Linked DNA regions of Drosophila melanogaster. The protein of the gene in region 1 interacts with the protein of each later gene in a pairwise test. Each region holds a gene or a part of one and is shown in the gene's direction. Other genes may lie near its edges.

Region 1 (9,644 bases):
GGCGAGCACGAACAGCGCGCCGTCATCGATCCACAGTCCATCAGTGATCCCCAGGTGATAAAGCTGCAGCGCATCCTCGTCGACTGGATCAACGACGAGCTGGCCGAGCAGCGCATAATTGTTCAGCACCTGGAAGAGGACATGTATGACGGCCAGGTGCTGCACAAGCTGTGGGAGAAGCTCACCGGCAAGAAGCTGGACGTTCCTGAGGTCACCCAGTCAGAGCAGGGCCAGCACGAGAAGCTCAACATCGTCCTGAAGGCCGTCAACCATGTAAGTAGTAGTAGTTTATGTTTTGCAGGATTTAAAAATCGGAGTTACCAACATTTAATTATTTATCCATTCTTAAAGTCGAATAGAATAATTTTTATTCGATTTACAATTAACATTCCCTTTTCTCGCGATATAAGAATAAATTTTATCCTTGCCCACACCCACAGACACTCGGCTTTCACCAAAAGATTCCCAAGTGGTCGGTGGCCAGCGTGCACTCGAAGAACATTGTGGCCATATTACATCTGCTGGTGGCACTGGTGCGTCACTTCCGGGCGCCCGTTCGCCTGCCAGAGAACGTGTTCGTGACCGTCGTGATTGCGGAGAAGAATGCGGGCGTGCTGAACGCGCAGAAGTTCCAGGAGCAGATAACGTCCGAGTACGACGACCTGGGCATGCGCTGCGAAAAGGACGCCTTCGACACGCTGATCGACTGTGCGCCGGACAAGCTGGCCGTGGTGAAGAAGTCCTTGATCACGTTCGTGAACAAGCACCTGGCCAAGCTGAACTTTGAGATCAGCGATCTGAACACGGACTTTCGCGACGGCGTATACCTGTGCCTGCTGATGGGCCTGCTCGGTGGATTCTTTGTGCCGCTGCACGAGTTCCATTTGACGCCGCAGGACGTGGATCAGATGGTCAGCAACGTGGCCTTCGCCTTCGACCTGATGCAGGACGTGGGCCTGCCCAAACCAAAGGCGCGGCCGGAGGACATCGTGAACATGGACCTCAAGTCCACCCTGCGCGTCCTATACAGCCTGTTCACCATGTTCAGGGACTTCGCCTGAGTGAAACCCGGATGGAACGAGCCAGCGGGTTGCAGGAGCAACAAGCGGCGCCAATTTTACATTTTATATTAACTTTTTGATAGTGTTTACACGCCTAATTTATGTGCGTTCTCGAAACTGATTGTAGGCGATGCAGCGGTTAAAGCTTACTGATCCTAACTCTCAAAACCACAACTAAATGCTGCGTCGCGTATAATCAGCCCAAGGAATGTTTATATATATATATATATATTTATGTGTCGTACGTCTAACCACTGCGATCTGCTCCAGATTCAGATTGCTCGGAACAGGAAGGAGCAGAGCAGAGCAGAGCTAACCCAAACCCAAAATCCGGCGGCCAGTTGTTAACTTGTCTTACTCACGTGCCAGACGTTGTAGTTGTTACTAAGTGAATTTATTGTATTAATACATTATTTGAACACAATAACCGAGATTGTGCCTTTAGATCACACAGAGCTTTTGCAAATTATGTCACAGATCAGATTTTAACGCTGTAAATGTAGAAGTTTACGGAAAAGTCTTAAAAAAAAATTTTATTGTGTACGTTAAAAATTTGGATCAGAAAAATCAATAAATATTGCCAATAGCATATGTGTTATTCTATTTTAAACAGTTCCAAGGCGCAAAATTTATCTGGGGCTGCAGCACTCACAAACGCCAGCTTCCATCCTATTCACATGTAAGTTCTTTCGAGCGTCTCGAATTGATTGAGAAACAAACCTTAGTAATTTTCTGAACGCTGTGCTATTTGAATTGTCGCGGTTGCGCGCGCAACTCGCAACGGTCTGGTATCGATCACAGCTGCGAGCAGGCTGCCAGATCGCTTCCCGTTCGGGAACGATTTCGCATCGATTTTCGATTGCTGGCCGGTATAATTTGAAAATGTTACTTTGCTGACCGGATTTTGGTCCTTGGCCAGATGTTGGCCATGAATCTAAAAGCCAGTATTTAGTAACTTGCGTTGATTGCAGCCGCTTAACTAAGCCGCTTAGCCAGATATGTCCTAATGTTATGTGTTTCGTTTCGAAACAAGGTGGCAACCATGCGCATGCTTTTTATGATTTTCACAATAGCCGAGCGAAGTTTCAAGATTCTAGAACTACCCACCACACCAACGCTTCTGCTGCGCCGCCAGTCCCACAACTACGGCTACGACTACATCAGCCCCACGCACATCGAACTCAGCCGGGAAGCAACTCGCCTGGTAATTCGCCGTCTGCAGCGCACCGTTCTCCGCCTGATCCGTGACCCGGACTTCATCATGTCTGCCGAGGCGAATCCCGAGATGGATAAGGAGCACCACGAGTCCCCATTCGCAGCGAACCGCAAGGCCGGTGCCAGCGGCGCCGGCAAACAGGACTCGAACTGCCGCACCTGCAACGATTTCAAGTCGTGGTCCAAGCAGCAACGCCTCATCTCCAACGTGCAGAGCGCCAAGGTGACGTGATCGCGTTGGCCACTTCGCCTTCGCAAGCAGGACGATAACACAAGAATCTCCCACTTTCATACTCCTCCAGGTGAAGCACATGGCCGCCGCCGAAAAGCTGACCGTCAACGCCGCCGAAGATCCGCTGCCCCGCGACGACTGCCCGCTGGACAAGGTGAGGCTGGGAATTTCCACCTGGGGACTGCTCCACACCATGGCCGCCTTTTACTCGGACAACCCCACGGACACCGAGAAGCGCGACATGAAGACCTTTTTTGAGGTTCTGTCGCGCCTTTACCCCTGCGAGTTTTGCGCCAAGGACTTTCGCACCGAGTAAGTGCATCTTCAATCCATTTGAAAACGCTGACACTTTAGCTGGACCTCTGTTGCAGCCTGGACGTCAACCCCATCAATGTGAACTCCCAAAAGGAGCTAGCACTGTGGCTGTGCAAGTTCCACAACCGAGTGAACGACAAACTGGGCAAACCGCTCTTCGATTGCACCAAGGTGAACGAGAGGTGGCGCGACGGCTGGCTAGACGGCTCCTGCGACTAGGCGCCGCAGCTAACCAGCGCCGAGAAGCCCCGTCTCCCGCCCGTTGCAGGTTGCCATGTTGACCAGACTTTGTCCCACATTTTGCTCGGCTGGCCCACAACTACAACCACGGAACACGGGACTCCTGCTCGGCGGTGTACCGCCGCCAACCCGAAACTGTGCCCTGTTTCTGGCCAGAGGCCATGCCCACCAGTCGGAACCTGCGTCAGCGTGACATTAAATTGAGTTATGTTGTAATAGAGCGACACATCGAAGGTCCATTGTTAAATGATTTGCTGGCTATGAACTCCATTAGAATATACACATTATGTTGAGGACCCGTATTATGCCTTCTCACTGGCCCTGCAGATATCGCAATCTCTAATCTGCCGACTGGCGTTTATTAGATTAGAATGGGGAAGGCAAATGCTTTCCACTTCGATAAGATGGGAGTGGAAAGATCTAAAGCGGAGTTGGAATACAATGCTTAGTTGGTTCGAAATTAGGGGATTTGGCTGATACTTATATAGTTTTTAGATTTCCTTTCTATAATACCTAAAGGACTAAAGGTCTTAAAATTTGTCTGCTCTGGTTATATTTTTTAATATTTAACTTAATTTTTTTTTGCAATCAACGAAACATTAACATTTTATTCATTTAACATTTTAATATGCTTAACATAAGAGATATAAAAATTAGTGGAATTTTCGTAAGAGTAAGCCATTATATGATTTACTTATATAACATGATTGCTCAGCAATAGTTTAGGTAGTTTAAGCGGGGAAATTTAAATTTGGCTAATTTAAAATATTTAATACCTCAAATTTAGATGAACGATATTTTCGATTCATAATTATCGGTGATAACTTGTTCGATAGCTCTTCGTTCAGAAATAGCCAGATTTGGCGGCGAAATAGCTGCCCCCGCAGCGCCGCTGCCCGCACATTGTCGTGGTAGCCAACACTAGCGCACATCGCACTACAGTTAGTTGCCTGCTGGCTTTTGCGCGTCGCACGTATCACTTCGTCAGATTTCTCGATTTGGTCGAGCTGAGTAGAGTGTAATTACCAAACAAAGAAATGCGCCTGGCTCAAATTGAATAAATAAAAGCGCCCGCCGTGTGTGACAATCACTTTGCCCACCCCCTTTGGCCAGAAAAGGAGCGCCACTAGCAGCGGAGGAAGAAGCAGCAGCACCATCACCACCACCAGTTGTAGTACAGGAAGAAGAAGAAGCAGTTGCCCTGAAAGAGAGAGAGGGTGCGAGCGAGAGAGGACGAAGCTAAGACAGGGCTGTTCGACAACCAGGTGTTTACATCCTGCTATCCACCATCTGTGTGTGTGTGCATGTCTGTGTGTTGTGTCGTCATCAAACAGCCGATTAAAATATTGAAATCCGTGCAATAAACAATAGTGTCTGTTCCCCTTTCATACTTACTATTTATTATAATTTTTTTTTTTTAATTTTTTCCTTGTGCAAACCCCCTCCCCCCACGTGCGGTTAATCGAACACTGAAGTGCGAACGCGAAATTGCGAATTGTAAAATTCACAAGGTGCCCAATTTGAAGCCAAACGAGATCCGTAGCCACATCGCAATAGCAGAATGGCCCCGGCTCTAAGCAAATTGGCCAACAACCAGAGCGCCATCGTCGGCGTGGCGGGCATGACGGCGGCCCTCTGGATAATTGCCTACGGAAAGATGTCCAACAAGAAGCGGTAAGCCCCCCCTTGATCTTAATTACGGATAATTGTGGCTCAACCATGTTATTTATGTTGCCTGTGCAATATGCAATATTCTACGAACATCTTATTGCACAAGGTCTCGGTCTTGGCCATCGATGTGTCCGTGATATTGACTTGAGTTTTGGATCGCTGTGTATTTATGTACAAACAGATTTGTTTGCGGGACATACGATGCGATGCCACTATTGTGGGTCATCTGGCGGACTGCAAAAACTGGTTTTCCGATGGCCGTTTCTGCCACACTGTATGCACTTCCCCCTCATTGTAGTCCGGTTTCAATTGATTCGTCCAGCAGCCGCGCACAGTGGGCCGGACAGTTCGTTTGCAGCTCCAAATACTGTTCTTTTCAATTGTGTTACCCATTGCCATAATCTTATAATAAGTTTGGCGACCACCAGCTTACGTTTTGAAGATTCTCAAAAAGATATTTTTAAGTGCAGTCCCAATACAAAAAAAAAGTCAACAGATCATCGATTCATTTAAGTAGATGTGAACCAAAGTAGCTGGATCTGTTTGCAGTCTATCCCTATTATGTAGATATACTGATATCTAGGATAGGTCTGAATGTATATATTGTCTGGGAGGAATGGAGGAATTCCGCGTACTTAGCAGAAGGTAGACTCAGATAGGCACTACATTTCCGGCCAAACAGCAAACTCGATTAGGAAAGCCTTCTCGGCGCCCTCGACTATTATGACCCGAATAGCCACTTCTTGGCGGCCTGCTTCATTGCGGTATCGCTTCAAGGATTTCCCCATCGAGCACCTGCGATGCGGACTTGATTCCCCGGTTAAGGGCCACGTTTCGGTGTTTGAATGGACTTGGTCTTTGCCGCTAATCTAATCGGCAACGCGCCAGTCTACAGCACTTCATCTATATGCCCCATTCCACTATCGCCACTCGTGCCGATTATGCTGTTGTTAACGCGCTCAATATTTGGTCATATTCGATGTGTGCGGGGTTCGGCGCGCAATTGACCGCTATCAGTCGATTTCATCTTATTGAATAAACTGAACGGGTAAAGCGGGCGCAATCGACTATTTGCATGACAGAGCCAATTAATTAGACAGATTGCGGCGGACAAGTGGAGTGGGTGGGTGATTGCATTGCCAGCCAGCCAGCCAGCCAGCCATCCGCATGGGATTGTGGGGGATCTGCCGTGGCTGCATGTGCCACTCGTTAATTGCTAACATTACTCCGAGTACTCGGAGTATGCCGAGCACTCCGATGTTGGATACCCAACCGGTGGCCATCACTTTCAGCAACTTCTCTGAAGTGCACTGCACTTTGGCAGGCGATCGAAATCGAGCATTTTAATGCGCTGTTTACTTTTTTATGCAACTTTTGCGAGCGAGGTAGCCGCCACTTGTGGATGGCCGCTAAATTTATGCACCATTCCATTGTTCGAATTTTGCACAGTGGATGGTGCAGTCGGTTCAATGGATGCAGTGACTGGACACTCCACAGTCCAACCAACCAAATGGGCTTCGCAAGTGGAGCTCCACTTCGATTATGCTTTCATATGAATCAGTGGTTGAATTTTGTGGTTCATTTCATATAATTTCATTTAATTTCATTCATTCTATGATTCACTTTCAAGTCCAAGAGCTAATCGCTGAATGATTAAGAACGTTGAAAGTTTAAAAGGGACTTTTCGAATGTGTCAACGAGTTTCCGAGTAGCAACGCCTCTTGCACAACTTTCAAGGCGCTTTTTTATCGGTGTTTTTTTTATAGCCTCATATCAAGGACAGGCCCTAGAATTGTTAACTGATATGGTACGGTTATGCTAGCTCGTAGCACCGCCAATAATGTCTTTGCAATCTATCAAGGGTTTGGACAATTGGACAACACACCCAAGCTCATTAGTCCAAAGGTCCAAACACTTTGACTTGACATCCAGCAGCCTGCCTTGCAATCGAACACGCAACCACCGGTGGGCAGTTTGCTTTTGGTGTTGCAACAACACTCGATTGTACCCCTTACCCGGACCCAAGTCCGTACCCATACCCACACACACACACACCCATTCCATGGATGACATGATGACACCCGGGTATAAAGCATAAACATTACAGCCGTGCCTTTTAATGACTTGCGTCGTGCCATCCACAACATTGGATGGAGAGAAGCGCAGAGGACCAGTGGCTTCTGGTTTCATTTTTCCATTTCCATTTCCATTCGCATTCCCGTTCCCATTCCCAGCTCTTTGCCTTCGAGATGGGTAATGGGTAATGGGGTATAGGTGTTAATTTGTGTACAACTTGCTCTGTTTTTCGCAGGTAGACACATTCTGTATCGCCCGGCCCGTCCCGCCGGCTGTTGCGCAATAGCTTGTGTGGCTGTGCGCGCTCCAGACTTTCGGATGGGGAAGTGGAAGAGTCGGATGGATGGAGAGACCTTGTGCCCGGGAAACGCTTGGCCCTCGATAATCGGATTGCCCCGCAAGGCAGCCATTTATCGTGTAATTTGTATAATTCTCGCCTTTACTCGGACGGTGCGTGAAATGAGATCGTAATTTCAATGCAGATTCGCAGCCGAGCTCTGACATTTGCACCTGTTGCGGATGCCACGTTGCCAAGGCCTGTATGTCTGTCTGTCTGCCTGCCTGCCTACCGCTCACTCACTTACTCACTCACTCACTCACTCACTTACTCGCTCGCTCACTTGCTCACTCGCTCTCACTTCTGAGACATCGCAAGCGGAGTGGAGTGAGCGTGTGAGTGCCGGCAGACTGACTACGGGTCTTGAGGTCTACAGGTAACAGCCAAGGCAACAGGTGATGAGTATGCCCGAGCTGTGTCGAGCTATCTGATTTTGGCCAGCGTTTATCAGACAAACTAGCTCGATAGCGGCTGCTATGCGGCACAAGAACCACTGAACTTTGATTGCAATCCGCGGCAATGTCTCTATCTGAGTCAGACGCCAACCGATCTTCTCGCGCCCGGGTTCAATGTGCCCCCCATTAGGCGATCGCCGGCGATTAGCGAAAGAGAGCTTTGGATGAATCGCAGGGGCAGGCGATTTCGGAATGGGAATGGGAATGGGAATGGGTATGGGTATGGCAATGGGAGCCACCGGTGTTGACCTATGGACCCAAACACATGTTCCACGTCTAGGCGGTGAAAACAAGTTTAATATACTACGAATCAAAAAAGGAAAACCACACGAGAGACAGCCAGACACACAGACGGATTGAAAGATAGATAGATGGAAACATATATATATATATATATATATATATATATAGAAATAAATACAAGAGCGCTATGAATAATTCAGTGATCTGCGCAGCGATATTTAAGAAATAACCAAGTCATCACGACTCGTCGCTTTTTCCAGCCTGCAGATAACCAAGGCGCGAGCTTTGTACTTTGTTTGGCCTAACATACCAGTAGCACCAGCACCAGCACCAGCACCAGCACCAGCAACACCAGCACCTCACATCTCATCACCCACATTATCCCATAGACTTCGAACCCTGGGCAGGTGGCGATTTTGGACTCCATCCGATTCGATACGATACGATCCGATCCGATCCGATCCGATCCGATTGGCGATCCAATGCCGGTTAGCCAATGGCCCAGTGGCTTGTGTTGAGCTGGTCAGCTCTGGGCACCGGTTTTCATCCGGACCTTGATCCCACAACGATTAGCAGCTGAAAAGAATTCAAACAAATTATCTCGGAAGCATTTCATGTAGCAAATTTGGGGAAATGTGCTTTTTTTTTAATGTACGCTCAAGCAAAAGTGATAACGAAAGCCCATAGCTTGTGAGTAATGTTTGAGATAGTTAAACTATTTAGCCGAATTTCCATGCAATCTAAAATAAATATTTTATGTTTTTTTTTTTTTTTGGAAATTATAATCGTTTTAATTGATAAAACTTATCGATCGGCTAATTAGTCGAAACATTTTGTGAATTACGCACGTTAAATGGTGGACTTAAAAAGTTAGCCAACTGATTTATTGATCGATTCCATGGCATCTTGTTTGGAAAAGTTTCTACATATATCTGCACAATATTGAGTACTTTGCTCACAGCGACTTCGCTTGCAGTATTGCTGCATAGACGGGCTAAATGTTTGTTTATCAAACGAATCGAATATTTAGAGTGACGATTTGTTAACGCACGCAAAATTTAGCAGGCTTCATGTGAATAATTTACCGGATTGTAAAAAGTACGAACGATGATCGAGTCGTTTTTTTATTTTTTTGTATTTATCTATTTGTCATTAACCAACCTAATGAAGTGCGGTGGTGTGAAAAGTCATGGCTCATCCCGGCGTCTTAATTGTTGGATTTAATCGCACACCTTCATTGCAAATAAGCGACTTTATGGAGACACTAAACACGAAGTTCGTTCTTTATTTGCGGCGCCGATGATAGCGCGACTTGCTATAAAAAGGCAAAGGTTGCTATTCAAATTGGCTATCCAAACAGGGAGTTTAATTATTGTGATTTATTTCATAAATTTGCCATCAACGTTGCACATTTGCCTGGCCAATGATCGAAACTGCACAACATCGTTGGCTAAAAACAGTTTTGGAATGATAAGACCACTCCTCTTATCAACATTTTTCATAACTGCTGTACGAGTTTTAATTTATTATTAAGTTTATTGAGCCATAACCCAAATCCATTAGCACTCAATGGAGATTTTGAGCAGTCCAATTGTCTGCCATCCACAAAGATCAAACATATGTATTATTATATCTATATATCTATAGAGGGCAAACAGAAAGAACCTTTGTAAATACGGCCAACTAATAGAGTTATTAATTTCTCTCATATTTTATTGCTTCAAACGACATATAGCTTAGTTACAAACACTTTTAATATGCTATCTTCATTGCAGAAAACCCGGCTATGAGGACAAGAT
Region 2 (7,666 bases), on another chromosome or scaffold:
ATCTGGATGGCTGTGGCCTAGACTGTTAATGATATCCCGCCCCACCCCCTGGCCACCAAATTCACGATGCATGAGGGCAATAACAATTATTATCGGGCTGAGCGGCGCAGTACATAAAACCCGATGGGTCCCACATGCATACATAAATAATACATGAATGGTCGTAGAGCCCAAGATGACCAGCAATTGCATTTGTGGTTTTTGGGCTGGAGTCGGAGTTTCAAGGTCGCGTTACACACTTAATTTTACATTGGGCCTGCATTGTCTGCGTGGTTTGTTGGACAGAGGGGGGAATCTATATACCTCGATGAGGAGTGACCGAACCAACCGGTTCTGCATTAAAATGATCTTGCTGATCTTCTGGTGCAGCAGCAGCAGCAACTTCTTCTTCATTTTGCCTCAATTTGGCAATATGGACGAAGCAACCACAATATAGCCGGCATGACATTGAATTGTAAATTTCAGACGATAAAAACAAAAAAAAAACGCTTAACGCATAAAGTATACGTATGGCGAAGAAAACGATAAAGCAGAGAGGTAAATAAAATGTAAGCCGACATCCGATGCATGTGCATTTTTTTATATGCGATGCGACTTTGCATTAGAGATGCGATCGTGATACAGTTCAATGCAATTCTATTAAAATTTAAATAAATATATATATTTTTTTTAATATTTAAACGTTTTTTGGTAAGACCCAATAACATTTGTTATACCCACCTGTGAGCACTTAAATTTTCCTTTCGTTTTAGTCACCTGCCCTCTTTCGATAGTCGCAACACGTGCCGAGTGCGATGCAAAAGGTCAGACATATGCAAACAAAGTACACTTTTTGCGCCATGTTTGCTATCTCTGTTCCCCCTTTATCCACTATGTACACCCCCTTTAAGCCGCCCAAGACCATCCCCTTCACACCCCCTTACCATTTGGTCAACTGGTGATGTTGTTGTTGCTACTGCTGCTTCTTCGTTGTAAAAGACATTGACATTTTTTTTTTGCTGACCGTTTGCTCAGTTGCTTTTCTCTGTACTTTGTTGTCGTTGTTTAATGGTTTTTATACATATTTTTTTTTTTTAGCCAGCTATTGTTGTTGGTAGCATCGCATTACGTCACTTTCACTGTAGTTTGCGGCTTAAGGCAGCCTTTCGGCTTTACGTTGTTGTTGTTGTTGTTGTTGTGTTGTTGTTGGCACTGTTTGCACTTGTTTTTGGTACAAACAAGCAAATTGCAATAAAAATGCTCGAAATTTATGGTCCACTGGCATACATACATTTTGTTTGGTATGATTTATCCGAGACTTTTGTTCGCCTTGCTTTCCGGCGGCACAATTTATGCCCGTTTACATGGTAAACTTTTGCTGTTTTTCCCAGTAGTTACCCGTTCATGCTTTTTGGTTCAAGTTCATCAGTTGGCCACCGAATTCGCAACTGGGATCAGGTTTTATGGTTATCGTCTTGATAGATGCGACGTTAAGTTCGCCAAGTTAGACTCGTATATCAGCAACTAGTTGGTAAACACTCATCACAAAGTTGATTTGAAAATATTTAACGCTGTAAGTTTGTTCATTGCGCATACGCCGTGTTAACATGTGGGTGTACCTACCACATTACGCATTCGCACCGTTTGCTCATAGAGCTGGGGCTTTGATAGATAAGAATCGGGCTGAAACAATGTCATTAGTCCAGTTAACGTGGCCTGACTAAACAAGCTAATTTCCCAGTTACCAAATGTCGGCAATTTTCGGTCAGTTATTTTGAATGAATCCAATCATCCGAGCATTAAACAATGTGGCCTCTGCAAAGTTTAGCTTTATTTTCATGTTTAGGAGCTCTTCAAGTGCACAGTGTGAGTTATTTAAATAAACCATAATTTTAATACATAAAGTACTACTTCTTAAGCAGATCAGACTGCGGCTTGAGCACTTTTATGTCAAATCTTTTGTACCAGATGATATGTTCGCGGAGTATGACATTGTCGACTATGAGAAAATCAATGTGAATCTCACAGTTCAAGTGCCCTTTCCTGGCAAGCTTCTCATCCACATTTTCGTAAGGAAGCTGTCAGATCAAGTTGGTGGTTCGAACTACTTCGATCTGATTCGCATGACGAACAAGGATCTCTGCAAGCTCCTCGATTCACTTCGCAATATTACAGTGGAGGAAATTCCGGGCGAAAGCCTTTTGCCCTCGACTTTTGTTGTCTCATGTCCTTTGGTTCCAGGCTTCTATTTTGTTGAGAATGGCGTTATTGATTCCAAACTGGTTCCTTTCCGCATTCCCGATGGCAGATACATGGTACTTTTTGAGCTGATACAAGTCTACGAGGAAGTTATGAAGCTGATTTCATGCAGAATCAAGTTTTCCATTAAGACACCACCTGGATACACGGAACCATCGCTGTTTAAAAATAGCGAGGAAAATAAAGCGACTGAGAAGCCAGTAGAGAAAACCGAAGAAGCAAGTACAGAGGTTACTCAGTCGAAAGAGGATAGTTCGGAAGTATCAAACGATTACGAATAATGTAATTTTTGTAACTTAAATTTTTTCAAATATATTATACATGGAGCCTCTCCCTTTTTTGCTAAATTTTTTCACCCAAAAAAACAATTTTTACACATTTTCTGCAAAATAGTACCATCTATCACCGAGTTTCGGGTGCGTAATAAAATTTATTATCTCCCACTAAAAATTCGCCGGGATTGAGACATATCGCACATGTTACAGCCACGCCCATAAATGTTAATTAAAAAACCCAGGGGCATGGGAAATATATCAAACATGAATTTAAACCGCGCGAGACAAGCCGACGACAAAGACTAACTCAAAGATATCCATTCAATCCAATCTTTTAATTTGTTGTCATGGTAAACTTTGTTTGTGATATCCATTCGACACGTATTTGTTTTTGTGGAGTACAAACTGTGGAATGTTTTTTTGAGCTGCGTTGACATTGTGGCGGCATTCTCGAAAGTTCGTTATTTACATATTTAGAGCAGGGCGAATGTTTCCGGTTTTCAGCTGCAAGATCGTCGTCAGCATCATCAATACTTGCACGATGACTGGGCAAAAAAAACACTTGGCCTCCGTACCAATCATATGTTGGTTTTTATACCATCGCCCAGCCCAAAATGGTTCCGTCGTTTAGCTTAACTTTTATTGATTTAGTATTCCACTCTACAGGCCTGACAGCTGTTCAAAGTGTCAAATATTTATGGATCCTCTGCTCAAGTGATAATTTATATTTTAATTGGCTTGACCACTGATCATTCGATCATTGGATCTTGAACTTCAGATTAACTTACCATTTGAATTGGGTGATCGAGGGGCTCTAGATACACTGAATTAGCAATTAAACTGCCTGGCATTACAATTTCCGCCTTCTTCCGGGTTTTGTTTAAATATTACTCCGCTGACCGCATTTGAGGTGACCTTCATTTGTCGATGTCTTCATTTACCCAGTCTGATTATTATTTAATCAACGATCAACTTCTTCAGTGGCTTAGCGAAGCAAACAAAAGATGCCACCACCAAGTAAACAGGGCAGCCTGGTTTTGCTGCTCGGTCCCGCTGCCGAAAAAATTGGCCCGAAAAAAAAAAAAAACAAAGCACCTGCCTCAACATGCCACGCCCCTTGAATCGTCTGCTTTTGGCCAGGTTTTTCTGTTTATACTTCTTTTTCGCTTACCGTCTTATTTATGCGAGACTCTTTTGTTTATGTATCGTTCATTTGTCCTCTTCTTCATTGCAAACTGCAGTTTACACATGACATTATCATCGATGGTCACCCAAAAGTTTGGCTATAAAAAGGCCTGATGCCAGATGGAGCCATGTGCAGTCGATATTTGGATTAATCAGCGTAATCATCTCCCCAGCAGCAGCAATCATGAAGTACCTAGCTCTGGTGAGTATTTGGATATAACATTTGGATTAATAATTGGATTAAATGATTTCCAATTAAGTGCAACATATGAAGTTGTTTGTTGAAGTATATTAAATTTTCAATTTGTACTAAAAATCTATTGTAATTCACATTTTTCAGACCATTTTCGTGTGCCTTATGGCCATCGCCCTCATTTCTGCCGTGCCCGTGGATGAGTCCCTGATCGGCGATAATATCTACCAGCCTGCCTTCGACGATGTCCAGCGTCCCCAGGATCCGCAGGCCATCTTCAAGCTGAAGAAGCTGCTCAAGTTGAAGAAGCTCCTGGGTTAGGAGAAATTCGCAATAAGCTTCGTTCAGATTCTAGTCCAGCCAATTGGGAACCTTGCCTCCCCCACTACATTCGATTTTCAAACCGTTTTGTTTAGACAATACCCAATAAGCACAAACACACAAACACACACAAAAGCACATACATACGAGTAAAGTATACGTAATCGTAACTAAAATAAATGTTATTTTCATACACGTCGGCTTTTCTTATATCATCGAAGCGTCGGGGATGAGATCTCCATGTGTGTCCAAAAAGGAGCTAATGACTGGCAGCGGGTCGGGTTTTTGTTTGCCTAGATCTGAATAAGAAACCCGTTTCGGATCGTTTCTGGGTAGAGAGTGTGAAAAGCGAACGGAATCTTCCTTACATGCGTATAAATATTGGCCAATCTCAGTCGTAAATGAATCAAGTGGGTTCAATGATGTGCTAATACAAGGAGCCCACTGTGAGATTAATGATCATACCTACTTTCATTAATTGGCATGATTAGTTAACTTGATATGCCAGTAATATTATAGCTTAACTAAATATAATATATTAAATATTTTCAAGTATCAAAATTATGTAAAAAGTAACGATAACTCATCACATATTGACATATTGAGAGCTGGTCACGAAAAATCGGACATGATTGCCATCAAGTTGAAGCACATGGTTCCAGCCTTTCAACTTACCATAAATTTTAACATTCAGGTGTATTAGTAGTATTAGGAATGATTTTAATGTGATCGTAAAAAAAGAAAATTATTTGGAATTGAAGGTTGGACCTCTTCAAACAAAAGACTTAAGAAGCGAACTTGTTTTTTTTTTGGGCACCATTTTGTTTTAACCTTGCAATAAAAAATGAATAAGTAAAGGTTTCGTTACCAAATACTTTCTTTAATTTCACTCTTGTTTTTCTTCTTAAAAACCTAAACACATGTTAAGTTAAACTATAAATCCATAAATGTGAGGGTGTGGTGTCTAGCCCAGGAACAGCAGCTTCTTGAGCAGCTTCAGCTTGAGCAGGAAGGATTGGTCGTCGGATGGGTTGACGGACTCACTGCCAGGACCTTCGAAGCCATCGGGAATGGCCTCCTCGCGAGGAGCAGCACTGGTGGCCATGAAGCACACGGCAAGGCAAAGGAAGACGCTCTGTAAAGGAAGGGTCAGTAAAGTTCCTTGGTATTCCGTGTCGATTTTTAGTGACGCACCAGGAGCAAGAACTTCATGTTGTATGTGGCTAGATGTATGTAGTAATCGATCGATGGATTCGCACTGCGCGTTGACAGACCTGCTTGCACTGATCACCAGACCCCGCCGACCCGTCTATTTATATGCCTGTTCAGTTGAGAGTGAGTTGCTCGGCCGGCAGACCGCTCGTCTTTCATAGAAACTAAAACAACGCGAAGCATCAGCCAAAGATTCAGTGATTCACATGTCGGCGGGCGGGGTGGTATATCAATCTGTTTGGACTATTAAAAGTGATTTTAGTCCAACACGCAATGTGATAACAAAAGCCAGGTTCCCTTTTTCGTAGCCAAGTAGATTACCTTATTGTGGTGCCATTGTTGAACTTGCGACGCCTTATGTTTGGGCAATTTGTTGACTTGCGGTTTCTCCGGCTTCACTTCTTTTTGCTAATCGGTGTTTCCTTGGTTCTGGGTTCTATTTGACTTGGCCATTAGCTGCGAGCGGAATCTCTGCTAAATATTAATTAGCAACTTGACATTGGCCTTAACGTTCAGATCAGCCATTAGCTTTTCGTTCACACCTCCATAATAGGCTAGAGTAGCTGAATTATCCGAATATAGTTATATTTTTAAGTGTGTATGCTGGCAGACGGCGAATAACCCATTGCGCAAAATTGATAAGATTTTGAGATTTAAATTTAAGCAGGCGGTTTGAAAATGCCGACCTGCCAACTTTTCGAAATTAGCTGCATTGAGTAAATTAAAAGTCGAATGTAGAGTTATTTGTAAATTTCTAAATATTTCACATCCAAGCTAAAATCTGTAAAATCGAAGTAATTTTATTCTTATAATTAAATGTGTTTACATTTTAATTAAGATTTGCTTTCCATAATTATCAATCAAGATTTACAAAATGGAGTAGAAAAGAGGAAAATACATAAATCTCCTCTTTGATTTTCCCACTTTTGAAAATTTAAATAAATAGCGCCAATTTTCCAGTGCTGCCACTCTTATCAAAAAGTTTGCAAGAGAACAAAAAATCGATTGGCCTCGCCAACAACATTACTCACTGCACTAATCGATTATAATTATATATTAAAGCACAAAAAATACCAACAGATATCGAAATTCGATAGCATCGATACGCTGTAACAAACAAATAAAAAAAAAGAAACAAATTAGTCAAATTACAAAATTTATCAGTTATCCAATTGCACACAAAAACCAACTCAAAATTAGCCCAATTTCCATCGCAGGCCCACACGAAGAGAACAAACGGATACAATGACGGGTTCGTTCAGTGTGAAGCTCAAGTCCAAAAAAGGTCAATTCATTGTCAACGACCTGAACGAGCATACGACGCTGGGGGAGCTGAAAACGAAAATAGTCCAGGCCACCGACATCGAAGCGACGCAATTGCACGTCCTAGTAGGCTATCCGCCCAAGCCATTGGATCTCTCGCAGCAGCAGGAGCAGCGCGCCCTCAAGGCGGTCGGAATCAACAGCGGAGAGACGCTGATTGTGGAGGAGAAGGCTGCCCCTGCTCCTGCTGCCCCTGTGCCTGGCGGCACCACCGTGGAGGATGACGAGGCGCTGGCGCGTCGTCTGCAGGCCGAGGAGGAGGCACAGCTGCTGCAGGAAACCGCTGGCGGTCCAGTCGCCCAGGCAGCAGACTACCAGCTGCCAGTGGCGCCGACGGAAAGCGGACCGAATGGCGACTTTAATGGCATACTGCTGAAGAAGGTGGTGCCGGCGGACAATTCGTGCCTCTTCACCAGCATACGATTCGTGCTCAACGGGAAGGTGGACAACGAGGGCAGCGAAATGATGCGTCACATCATTGCGCAGGAGGTGGCCGCCGATCCGCAGAGCTACAACGACGCCGTGCTGGGCAAATCGAATGCCGAGTACTGCGCCTGGATACAGAAGGCGGATTCGTGGGGCGGCGCCATCGAAGTGTCCATACTGTCCAACTACTATGGCATTGAGATCGATGTGGTGGACATACAAAACGCCATTATCAATCGCTTTGGCGAGGACAAGAACTTTGGACTGCGTGTCTTCCTGCTCTTCGATGGCATCCACTACGATCCGCTGTACATGGAGACATCGCCGAGTGCTGCGCCGGCCACCATCTTCCCGGTGGAAGAGCTGGGCGTCTATCAGCAGGCCGAGCAGTTGGCCAACGAGGCGCAGTCCTCCCGCCAATACACCAATGTGGATAAATTCACGCTGCGCTGCATGCAGTGCGATGTCAGGCTGGTCGGCCAGGTGCAGGCCC
Region 3 (7,789 bases), on another chromosome or scaffold:
CTAAGTGAAGACAAATTGTTTTTGGCAATTTGTAGCTCCTTCCTGGGATTTTTCTAATATTTCCACAAATTACGTACACAATTTCTCGGACTTAAGATCCAGATGCTGCCGAAAATAACAAAATTATTAAGAATGCACACAAATGAGTAGCTGGGAAAAGGGGTCCAAATTGCTTGCGGCTTGTCTGCACTCAAAATTGGCTCGAGTGTGGATTGCAAAAGTGACCAATTTTATTTGCAAGCATACCATACTATATTATGTGGCATGTTGCCGGCAGGAAGTGGGCTTGCAGTCCGTTTACTGTTCCAATGACCTTTCGACATGAGCCAGTCGAGCGGACGGAGGCAGCCAGCCGGAAAGCAACGAAAAGTGGCACAGTACAAAAAAACAATGCCGACGCCGTGCGAGGCGGGTCCGGACTATCTGATACCGTGTACAAGCACTATACACATCCAAAAAATATACTTCTTCATATAGAGATTTTAATGTAAATATAAATATTTGTTTGAATATTTAATATTATTTGTTAGCCTTTTTTAATGCTTACCAAAGTTCCAAAAGACCCACATCTTTGGGCCGGAAAGCAGCTCGACAACATAAACGGCGACCTTTGACTGCCACAGACGATGGACGAGTGCCGAGGGTGGAGGGGGGGGGGGGGGACTTGTGGGCTGAGTTGGTGGAGCTTCTCTATTCATTTGGCCCGACGACTGGGCGCTCTGCGTTGATTTCCGTTTGCTGCATGTAAGAGTGCAACTTGAGCCGGCACTTGCACTCACTTGAGAGTGTGTGGGTGGCCGTGTGGTGGGGGCTTGAATTGCGGGTGGCTGTGTGGGTGTGCGTGTGTGTGGAAAACTAAACTGTTGCCATGTGACAAGTGGCAGCTTGACGACAACAACAACAACAGCAGCTACAGCTACAACAGCAGCAGCAGCAGCAACAGCTAGAGCAACATCAACGTCAGCATCAATGACGCTCGGTGCGCACTTTGCCGCAAACAAAACGGGGCAGCAGCATGCACCTGCTGCAGCAGCAGCAGGAGCAGCATGGCTCGGGGATCGAGGATGCGGGGAGCAGGAAGCGAGTGGAAGAAAAATGACGAGGACCATGAGAAGGACTTGACTCACTGTTGTTGTTTCAAGTTAAAAACTGTAGAAAGCGCACTCAAAAATTGCCACAAAAAGGCAGCAGCAGCAACAGCAGCAAAAGCAGTCACCCATTTTAGCACTCAAGTAATGAGTCGCCGTCTAGTGCTGTTTAACCCATGCCAGCGAACTCGGCAGACAGTTGCAGTCAAGGGGGTTAAGTGTTGGAATTTAATACACAATGCAGGCAGTCACCTGTGCGAATGTTTATTGAACCCGTGCAGTCGAAGTTGAACCCAATGGCAGCGCAAGGCGCATAAAAGCCATGGAATAGAATCATTTAACACGAAAATCCGATTATGAAGCTCGTACGGACAAAGTCAATATCCTTGTATTTATTGAGTGGAGAGAAAAATATACTACTTCGATTTGGTGAATTGTCAATGCAGCAACAATTGAAAATCATTTGAAGCCTTTCAAACGACACACAAAAGAAATTGATTTCACTTCTTCATTTTCTCTTCATCTTTTTGCCGGCATTGCCTCTTCGTTGCCATGAGATTGGATTTAAATTTACACCAGGACTTGGCATTGACGTCATCACAATTGTGACATCTTGGTCAACGGCTGTGAATAAAATATGCATAGCGTAAAGGAACACCACCATTGCAAAGATATTTATATACAATTGAACATTCCTCAAGGACATTGGCTCAAAAGCTGAGGCGTCCGCCCTGAAAAGTAGGCAACAAAAAAAACCATACGTAAGTGCCCCAGGTTGTCAGTTCAAAGGGATATGGTAACCTGCTCGAGAATAATGAGCTCTCCGCCCCCTTAAAAAAGTCGGCAACCCACCCTTGACCCCGTTGGATACATCGGGGGTCACTTCCAGCACATTAACCCTCAAACTGGCTTAACTAATTCTCTTTCGACTCGGCAATTCAATTAGCAGTAAGTCCATGGACACACACGCTCACAAACATAAAAAAGGACGTTTTAATCGAATTTATGTGTATGTGGCACACAACGGAGAAGGGGGTCAGTTAATAGTTCTGCCTTTGGGCCAACAAAAGGCTTACCTCAAGCCAGCTAGATAGTCAACCAGCCAGCCGTGGGCGGATTTATCTATTCTATTTTGTAATTTTTAATTTCACAACTAATGCGATTATTCACGGCTGACGGACCAGCCTGGCAATAAAAATGGCCAGTGTGTAAGCCACGTTTAACACTCGGTTTATTTTTAGTTAGCCAAACGCTTTCTCTTCCATTCGCCCTTCGCATCCTCTGAAAATACGCCAAAACTATTCGCACACGAGCTAGCTCTAAGCTCCAACTTTAAGCCCCCAGATTGCTGCCAAAAAAAAATTGGACCTTCAATTTATATACGAAGATTTGGCACCCTTTTGTTAGCGGGAAATGGAATTGGAATAATGAAAGTTGTAAAAAATACTAGCAGCGCAACAGAAGCAAGACTACAGAAAAATATTTAAAAATGAATTGCAGTTTAAAGTCAATATACCATCTATTTCATATTAATATATTTATGTTAATATTATATTAATTTAAAAACAATTTCTTAGCACAGGATTCTCTAATAAAACGGCTTTCTTTATTTAACATACTATATGGATCTCATGAACTATATCACGTGTAGGTTCATTTGCTTGGGTGGGAAAATTGCCACCGAATGCAGTGAGCCGTGCAAATCTCACCGAGAGCTGTGAAAAACTGGCGAAAGTCCGACATAAACAGTACTCATCTGGGAGTCAAGCCGTATTCATTGTCGCCACCGGGACTGCGAATTAAAGCTCCGCGGCGTGCCCATTCTCGGTTATGAGCGCTTAAAGTCGTCCATCCCACGCTTAACATTTAATTAAAAATTTTGTAATTACCGCCGGGGAAGTGGGTTTGCCTTGCTCTGCTCCGCTTTTCACTTCGCTTTGCCGCTGGCCAAAGATGCAGCTGTCTCGAGCGCGGAGCTCCTTTGCTCCTCTGCTCCTTTTGCTGCGTGGCCCTTGCATCTTCCAGGATGTGAACCCACTTCCCGGACTTTGTTTGTCTTGGAGAAGCGATTCACACCCCAGTGGTTTCGTCGAGAACGGCACCTAACTGGCAATGCTATGAACTTGGCAGCTGACTATGCTGCTCTCCATTTCGAACTAATTGATAAATGTATACTACTTAGTGGTTCTCTATACTGAAACGAACGTGGGAAACCTGGTCATTGTCGTTGGCAAGCTGCGGGATTCTGGTTCGTTCATTAATTTGTTGCAATTTCTTGGCGAAGTCAAAGTCTCGGCTCAGTTGCAGAAGATGCTTCGGTTATGCAATGGCTACGCCACCGACATCCCTTAACATTTTACGCATTTTTCCAGAAATTCCATTGTGTTGCTGCACGTGCCAAAATGTATTTGGGCGGGCTTTTGTTGGGGTGGGCGTGGCATCAAAGTGCATGCAAAATACGTGACATGCATATTGAAGTCACTTACTATTTATTTTTATTACGCAAAGCAGCCAGAACTTTTTACACATATTTTTTTTTTACTAGTTCTCCTTTTGTTGTGGCAACTTTTCCGGAAAGGTATCAGCGGCAACAGCTGAAAAAGAGGGAAAAATAGGGAAAGAAAACTACACCAGCTCCCCCTGACATGTTTAATAAATGGCAGTAGCTGTCAGAGGAAAGTCAGAGTTTTTTCTTGTTAACCTTCATTGAAACTTTACTGAAGTGAAGGTTCAATACTTATAATTTTTGCGTGGGCTCATTAAATTTCAAAAAGTTTGATATTCAATTACCATTAGGCAGAAATAATGCCAAATTTATGAAATCCATTAAATCTGATTTCGATTCGAACATCCGCATTATTTCACATTTCCATTGTGCATGTCGACCTGTGAATTATGCCTACTGCTTATCGACCCAGAAACATTTCATAGGACTAATTAGCGTCCAACGAAATCAAATTTCGCCCTAATAAACCCATAACAGCGATATCGTGTTTCGCGAAAATGCCAAATTTTCATAAAACCTCAAAAATTGATGGGCTGAGAAATAGGCAAAATGGCATCGCAATTATGCAGCAGGACTTGACAGGACTAGAAGCGACAGGCTGGGTCAGCCGAGGACACAGTTTAGCACCTAGCTATGACCATAAAAATTTGTAATTTTCCCCAACACATATTTCCTTTTTGGCAACCGTCCAAAGTATGCAGCGTGAAAAGAAAGAGGGCAAAAATAAGAAAAAAATTGTTCAGGCCGTAAATAACCAAAGTAAACAACGCGACAAGCGGTTTGGCGGAGCAGGAGGTCGCTGGAAAAGAGCAGACAAAGTCCCGGCCGCAAAAGCCAAAACTCACTGCGAATGTGAATATTCTTGGAATTTTCATTTGTTGTCTACAGTTGCATGGGGTTGCATAGTTAGGAATGTCTTTTCTCCAAAAAAAAAAAAAAAAAAAAAAAAAACTGTAGTCAAACCAAACCAAACCATTCCAAACTAAAACCCCCTTTTCCACCCACTGTCAACGCAATTTGTCGCTTTGTGTTGCTCCTGCCGCTGCAGTTGTCGCTTCATTTTTGCAACAAAAGTGTTGCAAAATATGTTGACAGGAAATGTTATGCGAATTTCACTGCGTATAAAATGAAATTTACGTGCAACTTTGCACAGTGTGTGTGTTTAGTTTTGCCGGAAAAGCTTTGGTGGCCGGCCTTTAAAAATTGTAAGAGTATATAATTGCCAATGAAAATCAATCATTGGATTCGAGCTCAATGCAAGCTGATTCAGTTCCGAGTTTTGAGACTCAATTAAATGCACGACAGATCGTACTTCCAACTGGCTCATATTGTGTACAGTAACCAGTTGATCGCAATTAACTAGCTAACTAGATACAGATAAGCTAGACGCCATAAATTAGCCACAAGCCAGTGTGTATAAAATTCAGAACCGCCTTTCTGCGAGTAACAGTTTATCGTGAGGTGCTACTGTGCTAGGAAAACCCATGTCCATATTTATCTTGAAACAGATTCTGCGAATCGTTAGATAATGCTTAAGCTATGGCTAATATGTATCTTGACTGTCAGCGTGGTCTCCATACAGGTAATCACATCTGAGGTCTGTTTCATATGGCAGTTAATTGGAAAGTATGGTTTTTATTATAGAGTCTCTCACTTCTGGAGGAAACCAATTACGTGTCAGATTGCCTGGCCAGCAATAACATCAGCCAGGCTGAATTCCAGGAACTCATCGATCGCAACAGCTCCGAAGAGGATGACCTCGAGAATACCGACAGAAGATACAAATGCTTCATCCATTGCCTAGCGGAGAAGGGAAATCTTTTGGATACCAATGGCTATTTGGATGTGGATAAAATTGATCAAATTGAGCCCGTGAGCGATGAACTGCGAGAGATACTCTACGATTGCAAGAAAATCTACGATGAGGAAGAAGATCATTGCGAATATGCGTTTAAGATGGTGACTTGTCTAACTGAAAGCTTCGAGCAGAGCGATGAGGTCACCGAAGCGGGTAAAAATACAAACAAATTAAACGAATAATCGGTCTAAAACTGGTCAAGCAACTTAATCGCAATTGTTTTATGCCAGCGGGAAATTCACAAGCAACTGTTTAGTTTCATTTCTACAATGTTCATCTACAGACTTGTATTTATTGCGCCTCTGATTTTGTTATTGTTCAGCTTGGCCAAGGTGGGATTGATATTTATATTTGACTAAGCTTTTGATTTATTTTCAACAAACTACAATATATAGGCTCGCCACCCCTTTGATATATTTCATTGGAATTGGCAAGACTTTCAGGAGTGTCTACAAGTTAATAATATTACCATAGGAGAATATGAGAAATACGCGCGACACGAAACTTTGGATTACCTGCTCAACGAGAAAGTCGACTTGAGGTACAAGTGCAATATTAAATGTCAGCTGGAAAGGGATTCAACGAAATGGTTGAATGCTCAAGGCAGAATGGATTTGGATTTGATGAATACGACCGATAAGGCATCCAAATCCATTACCAAGTGCATGGAGAAGGCTCCCGAAGAACTTTGTGCGTACAGTTTTAGACTGGTGATGTGTGCATTTAAGGCTGGCCATCCCGTAATTGATTCGGAATAAATGTCAATAATTTAAATATATGGAAACAATCAAAGTACTACAATTTCCACACATAACTCACATAAGTTTTACTATTTCAAACGAGTGATTTGTAGAGATTGTAGATCTAGTATGTACTTAACACCAGTCAAATAGGCGTGCCACGTAATTTTTATTAGAGCTTATTCGAAACGAGTAATTAATTTTAAGTGTAACAAAAAGTTGTCGCATAAATCAAATGATCTTAAATTATGGGTACATAAAACCGAGGGAAAATATAGACGCTTAGCTTATGACCCTACCAATGATTGATTTACAATCTCATGAAATTAAAAATACTCAGGCACTATTCTGAATAACAGGTCTATCAACTCAATGGCAATTGTGTTAAATAAGTGGAAAATTGATTTTAAGCTGTTCAGTCTGAAGTTAACAATGTTCAACACTAGACTTGCCATTTTTTTGCTTCTTATCGTTGTTTCGCTTAGCCAAGCTAAGGTTAGATACACGAACTAAAATATATTTGATTTACAAATAAATACATTTTAGGAAAGCCAACCCTTTGACTTTTTCGAAGGAACCTATGACGATTTTATTGATTGTCTGAGAATCAATAATATTACCATTGAAGAGTATGAGAAGTTTGACGATACCGACAATTTGGATAATGTCCTCAAGGAAAATGTCGAACTGAAGCACAAGTGCAACATTAAGTGTCAACTGGAAAGAGAGCCAACCAAATGGCTAAATGCTCGGGGTGAAGTCGATCTGAAATCAATGAAAGCAACCAGTGAGACAGCGGTATCCATATCAAAGTGCATGGAGAAGGCTCCCCAAGAAACCTGTGCCTACGTCTATAAATTGGTAATATGTGCATTCAAATCCGGACATTCAGTCATCAAGTTCGATTCATATGAACAAATACAAGAGGAAACCGCTGGACTAATAGCTGAACAGCAGGCGGATCTGTTTGATTACGATACCATCGATTTATAAAATCAAAACAATGTCGCCATAGTCACAGTAATATATAATCATTTTAATTTGCGGGCTTATTAGCATAATTAATTAAAATTGCACGAGGCGTGCCGCAGGGCGCTTGAATTAAATCAAACCGATCCGAATGGAATCCAATTAATTGCTTTGACCTGGAATCACGCAGCAGGTTAACACATAACAATAATAATTGATTCGTTGCAAATCAGGTAAATTCCTACAATCTGATGCCGTGAATAGAATCTTTCCATATTTCTCAGGACCTGCCTCCGATTTGTGTGTGTGTGTGTGTGTGTGATTTTTTGTCGTTCCCGAGCAGGAAAAAACATTTTCCCCACACACAATGCGATTCCGTTACAGTTTTCCACGGGGCGTATGAGTGTTTATTTGTGTGCGACTTTTTGTCGCTTTCCTTTGTGCCGGCAGGCGAATGCAACGGAAGTTGTCATGTTGCATTGTTGCAGCTGCTGTTGATGCCGCTGCCATTGTTATTTCGTGGAGCTGAGGCTTCGGGGATCGGGATCAGGGCTAGGCATCGGCTGAAAGAAAAGACGAGCGTGCAACGCCCACACACTTGACTGGTCCGCTCTGCCACCTCTCGCCT
Region 4 (8,233 bases), on another chromosome or scaffold:
ACAATCCAGCGCCGCATCCAGCAAAGAACATGTGATGCACTGTTTTATCGGCAATAACAGAAATAAATTTTTGATATAATGCTGCCACCGGATAACCTGAAACAAATTATATACATTAGTTGGATTGATTTAGCAATACAAAGTTTAAATCATGTAGTAAACATTTTCAACTAATTTGGAAGCTTCAACGATTCTTTCACGTTTAGTTAACGTTTTTGCATAGCCTGACTGTAATCAAATTCCTATCTAATAGGAATGAGTCACATTTTTATGGAATTTTGGGAGTCATGGTAAAATTTTAAAGGGGTTTGTAATTTATTTAGGAACATTGTTAAGCATTAAATCTTATTGTTACTAAGCAGTTTGTGAAAAAGTTCATTTAACGATACATTTCAATTAAAACCATGCAAGTTGTATATGACCACTGACAAAAAAAAAATCAAAAATAACACAGTCTTCAATGATAGGTACATAATTTATAAACACCTGTGCAAACATATGTATAACGTATATGTGCAATGAATTTGCGTGATATGCGGATATAAATATCCGGAGAAAATATCTTAACTTAATCACTTGACTTTAAGATACTTCGAGTATTCAGTGTCCCTACCAAAAAGCACTGCTGCTGGGGCATCTTACCTGCCAGAATGGTGAGTAGCAGCCGGAGTGCCTCCACGGGAACGCCCACTCCCGAGGCGATCCCGTCCATCAGGCCATTGTGGGGCAAGTCCTCCTCGAATTCCGCCATGCTAAATCTAGAAGAGAAAAGAGTTGCAGTGCTATCAGTGAACTCTACTCGCGTGATTCGGATTCGCTGGGTTATTGCGCTCCAGTCCTTATCACGCCGTAATTGTTGCTGTTGTCATTGGCGCATATTACGCAAACTGATTGTTTTTTGATCATCAAAGGAGTGCGTCAAGGGGCAAGGGGGAGGCTGATTAAGAAAAGAGGAAGAGCAACAGCAACAACAAACGAGTGCACTTGGTCAGGGTCAATGAAAATTCAAATGCAAAGGTCGCATTATCTCGGCGAACCAGTGAACTCGATAATGACGCACTTGCCACCGCACGAACTTGAATATTTTATGCTTATTGATTTCACGGCCAGTTGATGAAAGCGAGCGGGAGCAACAAAATCGAGAGCGGCATGCCAAATTATGGCCAAAATTACCTAAAGTTAAGTTACTAACACTGGAGCAGTGTGGCCGTAGGCGAGAGCACGGAAATTACCCGACTCTAACAGTAATAGGCACACGGATTAACCCACTGTTTCTAACATTTAAAAGTAGTACTTAGGATCCACATATAACCATATATGTTTTTACTATCTACTAAAAACATGCTTTATTTATATTTGATTAAATTTGTTTGCATATTAAAACGAACTGCTAATAACAGTATTTTATGCATTGTTATTAAATAATTCTTTGACATATTTTACATATGTCCCATATTTTTATGAATATATTTTATTTATTTTATTTGAAATAATTACAAATAATGTTTGAATTGCCTAATTACTATTTAATTAATATTAAACTAATATTGTTTTTGCATTATATATAATAAACTAATAATTCTTACACATAATATGTGTAATAATAACTGTACGTACCATATTTTAATGAACACCTAAATATAATACAAATTTTTTTTTAGCGGCGATGGTGAAACTGTGGAATTTTGAACATGGGGACGATTTTTATTTATTTATTTTTTAGTTATTTGGAGGTGAATTTTTGCCGACCGCCGACTGTCTCGTTGTCTGTCCCGATTTCCCTAATCAAATTTTTATGAAATCTTAAAACAATATATATATATATATATAGTAAGTTTTGGAAACTTATAGAAAGAACTTACGATATTAAAAGCGTATTGGCAAGCAATGGGTTAATTGAAAATCGTAATCTCTGCCACACGCATTGCTACGGAATAATTTTGCTACTCCGCTTTGGTCACACTGCTCGGCGACTAAAAATTGAATTGCATGAGAATTTAAAAAGTTTCGTTTAATAAGTAGAGGCATTAGTCAACCGATTCTGGAAATCACAACACGAGGTCAAGGGTCAATGCACAGTCAACCACAAAGGTTGAGCCAAGAAGCGTATATCCCAACAGCTGTTCTGCCGCTGGGTGAGATTACATGTTTACGTTTACGTGTCACTTCGAAAACTGAGATTTGTGAGCATTGTATTAATTTATAATTAATTAATTTCGTTAAATTCACCCGATCCGCAGCAATCCGGATGCCAAACTGGCACACTCGGGGAGCAGTATGCGCCGCAACAACTACCCGTACCAGCCCCTAAACCAGCACCCTTCAGGGCCCCATCCTGCGAGCCACGACGCCTTGGAGGCGGAAAACGAGCAGGCGGCGGAGGAGTTGAAGCAGAAGATCGGGGCCCTGAAGTCCCTCACCATCGATATAGGCAATGAGGTGCGCTACCAGGACAAGCTGCTGCGCGGCATCGACGACGACATGGACCGGACGAGTGGATTTCTGGGCAACGCGATGACGCGGGTGGTGCGACTGGCCAAACAGGGCGGTGGTGCTCGCCAAATGTGCTACATGTTCCTCTTCATCCTCGTCGTGTTCTTAATCCTCTGGATAACCCTAAAGTTTAAGTAGTTGTTGGTAATTTTATAAAATATATACCCACATATTTGTATGGTTTAGTGTAGTCGAAGGTTGTATTTGGTTCGGAATGCGGTTCACTTTTGGCTTAAAACCATAAAGTTAAATATATTTCTTAAGTTCAAACCAATATTAGAAAGACAGATACGTACGTTAAAGTTTTTTCAGCTCGTTCTTTATAGTTCTCGAGTAATAAGCAAAAGGAGATTCCAGATATAAATAAGGGAAGGTTCCAGTATCAAGTGATCAAATTACTTGCAAAAATTGCTGATTTTATTTAGCCCTAATCGCATAAAATGTCAATCCTTTTATCATTTATAAACTTCTTCAAAAGCAGCACTCATGTTACTCAATTGGTCCGTTATATTTTCCAATTTCCATAATAGAATTCATCAACAAGAAGCCCCTGTTTTTTTCTAAAAATATGTACTTACTAGTTTACTTTATTCTTTGCGCACAGAGTGACAATTTGTTGAAAGTAGAAAAGACGCACGCATACAAATTAAGGTCGATTGGGTGGGTTACATTTTGGGCTTACAGCTAATGATGATTATGATTATCGGACTTGTTACTGTTCTCATTTCCACATAATTTTAATTTTCACTTTAATTCGAATTTGGAACCGTTTCCTTCACAACTTTTCGAGGGCTATTGCTTTCGTATAACACAACTCAAAGTTGAACTAAATCCACGTAAGAATTCAGAATGTCGGTGAAAACGGAAGCCGGAACACGCCTGTAAGCAGCACTTTGGATTGGATCAGCGGCTATGCGTGGAAGGTCTTCATCTTTTTATTGCGTCTACTGAAGTCCTGGTCGAGGTCTTCGTCGTCGGCCTCCTCGCTGCCCACTTCCTCGTCGCTGAGAAATTCGCTGAACTGATCCCCATTTGAACTCTCCAGTGCTTGTACTGGAAAGTATATAAAGTATCTTAGCAGGAAGTTCATTAATAACCTGTAGTAGTTAGTTGCTCACTCTGCTTAGCTATTATGTTGTTTTGCCTCTTGATCTCTTCGATGTCTTTCTGGTTTTCACTGATCTTCCGCCTCATCGTCTGTATGCATTCGGTGGTCTTTTTCAGGATTTGAGCTCGACTCGCCTGTAACAAAAGATATGTATTATTAACTTATTACTACTTCTTATTAGCTTCATCACACAGGGTGTGGATTTTTTTAATATATTTTATGCGATTTGCTTAATTTGACAAGCAATAATGTAGTTTATTGTAAAACGAACTGGTATGGACTTATGGGATTTTCTTGGCAGAAAATGAGCCCGGCTGTGTCACCTGTTGCTCTTCTGGATTACCTTTTCGCCCTTGAGTGTGGGCACCGCCTCACGCAGGTTGGTGAAGCTCTCCTTGATGTGATCGCGCCGCCTTCGCTCCAAAGCGTTGTGGTGCGCCCGCTTTTCGGCCTTGAAACAAACATTAAAATTAGCATATAGGAAATTCCATCGTAAATACAGCAGAGTATGGAAATAATAACAAAAATGGAACAAAATGGTCTCAAAGCAATATGAACAGAAAGATAAGTTAGTAAATAGTAATATATAATATATTCAGTCCCTCTAAGATTATTTTCGATTACGAATCCTATTGCTGTGAACTCTGCTGTATCGTAATCACGATTCTGTAACAGCAACAACAACACGTGTGCGTTCTGTTTATCAACAAAAGGCAATGTGCGCAGTCGCTTTTTCCCACTCAGTTTATGCATGATGGATAGTCACCTGGGTGAAATTGGCGGTGTTTGTGTGTCGCGAGGATCCCAAGCCAGTGTCCGAGTCCCCGTCCTCCTAAAAAGTCGTTAATTTGGCATTAAAATCAATATTAAACACACGTATCAGTATTTTCCTCTACGCCTTGCTTACGTCACTTTCGATGTCTATGTCGCGGTCGTCGTCGCTCATACTCATGTTGCTTCACTTGTTTTGCACGGATTGCGCGCAAATTAATAGATATTTCCTAAGATTATTCCACTAAGTTGGTAAGTTTTTTGTTTTTTGTGATTATTCCAAATAAACATGTAATTTTGTTGTTGTCTGCTCACGTTGTAAGACTTGCAGAGTGACCAAATAGAGGAATGCTAATAATACTTCAAACTTAAGTGGCACCAAAAGGTCACCAATATTATTAATATTTGATTTGTATTAAATACAAATTATATATATATTAAGCACAAATTCAATATTCGCTTAACACTCTTGTTTGTTGCAGATTTTTTGTTTATTCGCACATTTGGTTCAGTTCGAATACCGCTACTATTTCCGCCACACTACAGTACTCGCCAGTGTGACCACACTGCTCGCAAAATGCCAAAGGCAGCGGCAGGAGCAGCAGTCTACAAGAAGTTTTTGATATAGTTCAGACTTTTACTAGTTTATTTGATGGCTTTTCCCACCACAAGTGCCCAGCAAGCCGAGACGAACCGCAAGATACTCGAAGAGATCCAGACGAAGAAGCAGTTGCTCGCGGGCGGGATCATAAACCTTGGTCTGAGTCCGCCGAACCAGGTGAGTTCGTTGGGAACATGCCGATCGGAAAATGTGTTTACCTGGTCTTCTATCGTAGATGCCCGCACCCCAGTTGCTGGGACAGCCGACGACAGTGAATCCAGACTTCCAGGCGGGCGTGGGCATTGCCACCAATGCCACATCCACCGCCCGCTCTGCATTTAATCCAACGAGCTCTACGACTTTGGGCTTCTTTATACCTCAGGATTCGTATTTTGGAAATAGCTTTATACCCGTGCTGCCTCGTCTGGAGCCGCTGCCGTCGCCTGCGACCACGCCCACTACTCCGAACGCTCCGCCCAGCCACAGTATCAGCAAATAGCCGGATCCACAATGGCCCGGTTGAAGCTGAGGAAACTGGAGGAGTACCTGCAGGGCGTTGACGGTTTCGAGCAGCCCAAGATCCTGTTGGAACAGTACCCCACTCCGCCGCACATAGCCGCGTGCATGGCTCATCACATGCAGTCGCAGCACGAGGACATCGAGGGAAAGCTGGTGGGAGATTTGGGCTGCGGCTGCGGAATGCTCAGCATTGCTTCCACTCTGCTGGGCGCCCAGCTCACGGTGGGCTTCGAACTGGACGGCGATGCCGTGGACACCTTTAGGGGCAATGTGGTGGAGATGGAGCTACCCAATGTTGACTGCGTGCGGGCGGATGTGCTGCAGCTGATCGGCAGCAAGTGGGAGAAGTCCTTTGACACGGTGCTGATGAATCCCCCATTCGGCACGAAACACAATGCCGGCATGGACATGCGGTTTCTGGAGGTGGCCCTACGGTTGGCCAACAGAGCAGTTTACTCCCTACACAAGACGTCAACACGGTAAGTCTGTATAAAATTGATTATAATCGATATTCGTAGAGGAAAACTTAAGTTTTCTTGCAAAGAATGTAACAGGTAGAGGGAAGCGATTTCCGCTTTACAAAGTATATTTTTAATTAGGATTACCAGCCGTGTATAACCAACGTTTTGAAAAAATCTTTTGATATAACTTATCTTATTTCCTTTACAATTTCTATCCATATCTAAACAAAATTTGGAATTCCTCTCTAGCAATCCCTCTAGATGAGCGGCGTATCTGATATTCGAAATCTTGGTTATACCATTCTCTCTTGTTTAATAGTGTAGATCTCTTGGTTAAACAGATACTCAAGTAGTATGCTTACTGGTCTATATATAGGTATATATTTTAAAATATATTGATACTCAATATTCGGCATATGAATGTACATATGCAGATTTATACTTTAAGAATATCTGCTGGTATAAACAGATGCGCAATCTTTTGTTATTGGCACAGTAAACAAGAGATACAATTGTACCCGCTTTTCGGTAAATGTGCTTCCTTACCGCTGTTTCTGCTTTTGTTGTTGTTTTGTTAAGAGCGCTGCTCACAACTATAAAACGCCGCAGAAACACCAACAAGTTACAGATAGCAACTAGAAGTCAGCAGCAAGATGATCCTCTCACGTAGCCTTCTAATCATCACTGTGGTGCTGGCGATTCTTCTGGCCCCCATGCCCACTGATGCGCAAATCCTGGGCAGCGGCCAATGCCGTCTCACCCCCATTCGAGTGTCCGCTGGCGGGACAGTGTGCGAGAGACTGTGCTTCCGAAGAGACTACCGCGGTCCGCCCAGCCTTTGCCGCCGCATTCCCAGAGATGCAGTGGTTCCTGTCTGCGGGGGTGGTTGCTGCCGCAGCGGTCCCAACTGCCTGCAGCTGCTTTACACATAAAGTATGTGGATAAGATGCAGCACGTTCCATCAATAGTTTAGATTTTAGTGAGAAATTATGGAAATTAAATATTTTAAAATATATATGCTACTCATATTAAAACGATGAGTTCTTTAATTAAAAGGGTATCTTATTATTCGACCCCTTCCTGTTTTTTATGGAAGAATAGCCAAGCCTAAACAACTGTGGAATAGTACATCAAAGCCAATTTAAATATCGATTTTAATTGTTCGCAGGTCGTACATTCAGAAAAAGGCACTGGAATGGGGCGCCCGCGGCTCAGTGGTCGCCGAACTCCGGTACAACATCGACGCCAGCTACAAGTTTCACAAGCAGAAGTCGAAGGATATTGAGGTGGACTTCTGGCGCTTTGAAATCGGCACGGAATAGGAAGAATTATATCAGTTGCATTTAGTTTTGGACATTATATGTAATAGTATTGTAAATTGTAGCACATTAAAATTGATCGTATGTGTTTTCTACTCCACATTGAAGACAACACCCTGGGCGCAGGCCAATTCTCCGGAGTGATTGACTGTAATGGTGGCCCGCTTGCAATACTGCTTCCAGGCATCGGATCCGGACTCGCGACCTCCTCCAGTGGCTTTTTCGCCTCCGAAAGCTCCACCAATCTCGGCGCCGTTGGTGGTGGTGTTGATGTTAACTATACCGCAATCGGAACCCTTGGCTCCAATCCACTTGAACGCCTGCCCGATGTTCTCCGTGAAAATGGCAGAGGATAAGCCCTGTTCCACCTCATTGTTCCATTCGATGGCCTGGTCCACGTTTTTGGCTTTGAGGATGTACACAATTGGTGCAAAGGTTTCGCGATGGACAACGCTGGCATCGTGCGGCAATCCAGTGATCACTGTGGGCTCTACGTAAAAACCATCCCGCTGGATGACATTACCTCCGAAGGCCACCGTTCCTCCTAAGGATTTCGCTTCCGCGATGGCCGCCTTGTAGTTCTCCACGTTTTGTTGCGTGTGCACGGGACCCACCAGAGTTTGAGCTTCGAGCTGGTGTCCAATCTTGGAAATTAGCTGCTTATATTTACCAACCAGCTCCTTTACGAACTGATCGTGCAGCTTTTCGTGGACAATAATCCTCCTGGTGGTGGTGCATCTTTGACCACTGGTGCCAATGCAGCCGAAAAGTGCGGCGTCCAGGGCCATCTTCACGTTGGCAGATTCATCGATGATTAGGGCATTATTGCCGCCTAGCTCGAGGATCACCTTGCCGAATCTGCGCTGCACTTCAACACCCACATCCCGACCAGTTTGGCAGCTGCCGGTGAAGGAAACGAGGTTAACTCTCTTATCAGCCACCAAGGTCTGACCAACATCGG

The links.
Region 2: the proteins of Abcd3 (region 1) and CG15212 interact in a two-hybrid assay, tested with the Drosophila melanogaster proteins (one large-scale study listed by BioGRID).
Region 3: the proteins of Abcd3 (region 1) and Obp57c interact in a two-hybrid assay, tested with the Drosophila melanogaster proteins (one large-scale study listed by BioGRID).
Region 4: the proteins of Abcd3 (region 1) and Bet1 interact in a two-hybrid assay, tested with the Drosophila melanogaster proteins (one large-scale study listed by BioGRID).

Annotation. Positions count from the first base shown.
Region 1 is NC_004354.4:19,746,810-19,756,453, forward strand, and holds the start of Abcd3 (ATP binding cassette subfamily D member 3), read left to right. Parts: upstream 1-3,960; 5' UTR 3,961-4,328; exon of another isoform or gene 4,329-4,538; 5' UTR 4,539-4,624; coding exon 4,625-4,737; intron 4,738-8,061; exon of another isoform or gene 8,062-8,494; coding exon of another isoform or gene 8,495-8,535; intron 8,536-9,620; coding exon 9,621-9,644. Other genes in the region: parvin, read left to right, coding at 2-273, 441-1,061; Alr (augmenter of liver regeneration), read left to right, coding at 2,104-2,499, 2,579-2,820, 2,880-3,042.
Region 2 is NT_037436.4:5,127,722-5,135,387, forward strand, and holds CG15212 (uncharacterized protein), read left to right. Parts: upstream 1-3,823; 5' UTR 3,824-3,882; coding exon 3,883-3,900; intron 3,901-4,038; coding exon 4,039-4,212; 3' UTR 4,213-4,406; downstream 4,407-7,666. Other genes in the region: CG4597 (uncharacterized protein), read left to right, coding at 1,786-1,845, 1,902-2,519; CG15213 (uncharacterized protein), read right to left, coding at 5,177-5,347, 5,407-5,424; Yod1 deubiquitinase, read left to right, coding at 6,670-7,666.
Region 3 is NT_033778.4:20,498,545-20,506,333, forward strand, and holds Obp57c (Odorant-binding protein 57c), read left to right. Parts: upstream 1-5,039; 5' UTR 5,040-5,122; coding exon 5,123-5,176; intron 5,177-5,238; coding exon 5,239-5,634; 3' UTR 5,635-5,658; downstream 5,659-7,789. Other genes in the region: Obp57b (Odorant-binding protein 57b), read left to right, coding at 5,722-5,784, 5,848-6,210; Obp57a (Odorant-binding protein 57a), read left to right, coding at 6,625-6,687, 6,739-7,185. UniProt on the Drosophila melanogaster protein: Present in the aqueous fluid surrounding olfactory sensory dendrites and are thought to aid in the capture and transport of hydrophobic odorants into and through this fluid.
Region 4 is NT_037436.4:19,259,473-19,267,705, forward strand, and holds Bet1 (blocked early in transport 1), read left to right. Parts: upstream 1-1,921; 5' UTR 1,922-2,183; intron 2,184-2,240; 5' UTR 2,241-2,277; coding exon 2,278-2,631; 3' UTR 2,632-2,965; downstream 2,966-8,233. Other genes in the region: nes (nessy), read right to left, coding at 1-96, 643-751; Max, read right to left, coding at 3,404-3,546, 3,612-3,735, 3,945-4,052, 4,368-4,433, 4,509-4,553; CG42374 (uncharacterized protein), read left to right, coding at 5,025-5,150, 5,209-5,472; Mettl5 (methyltransferase like 5), read left to right, coding at 5,484-5,971, 7,122-7,275; CG45081 (uncharacterized protein), read left to right, coding at 6,607-6,885; Aldh7A1 (aldehyde dehydrogenase 7 family member A1), read right to left, coding at 7,365-8,233.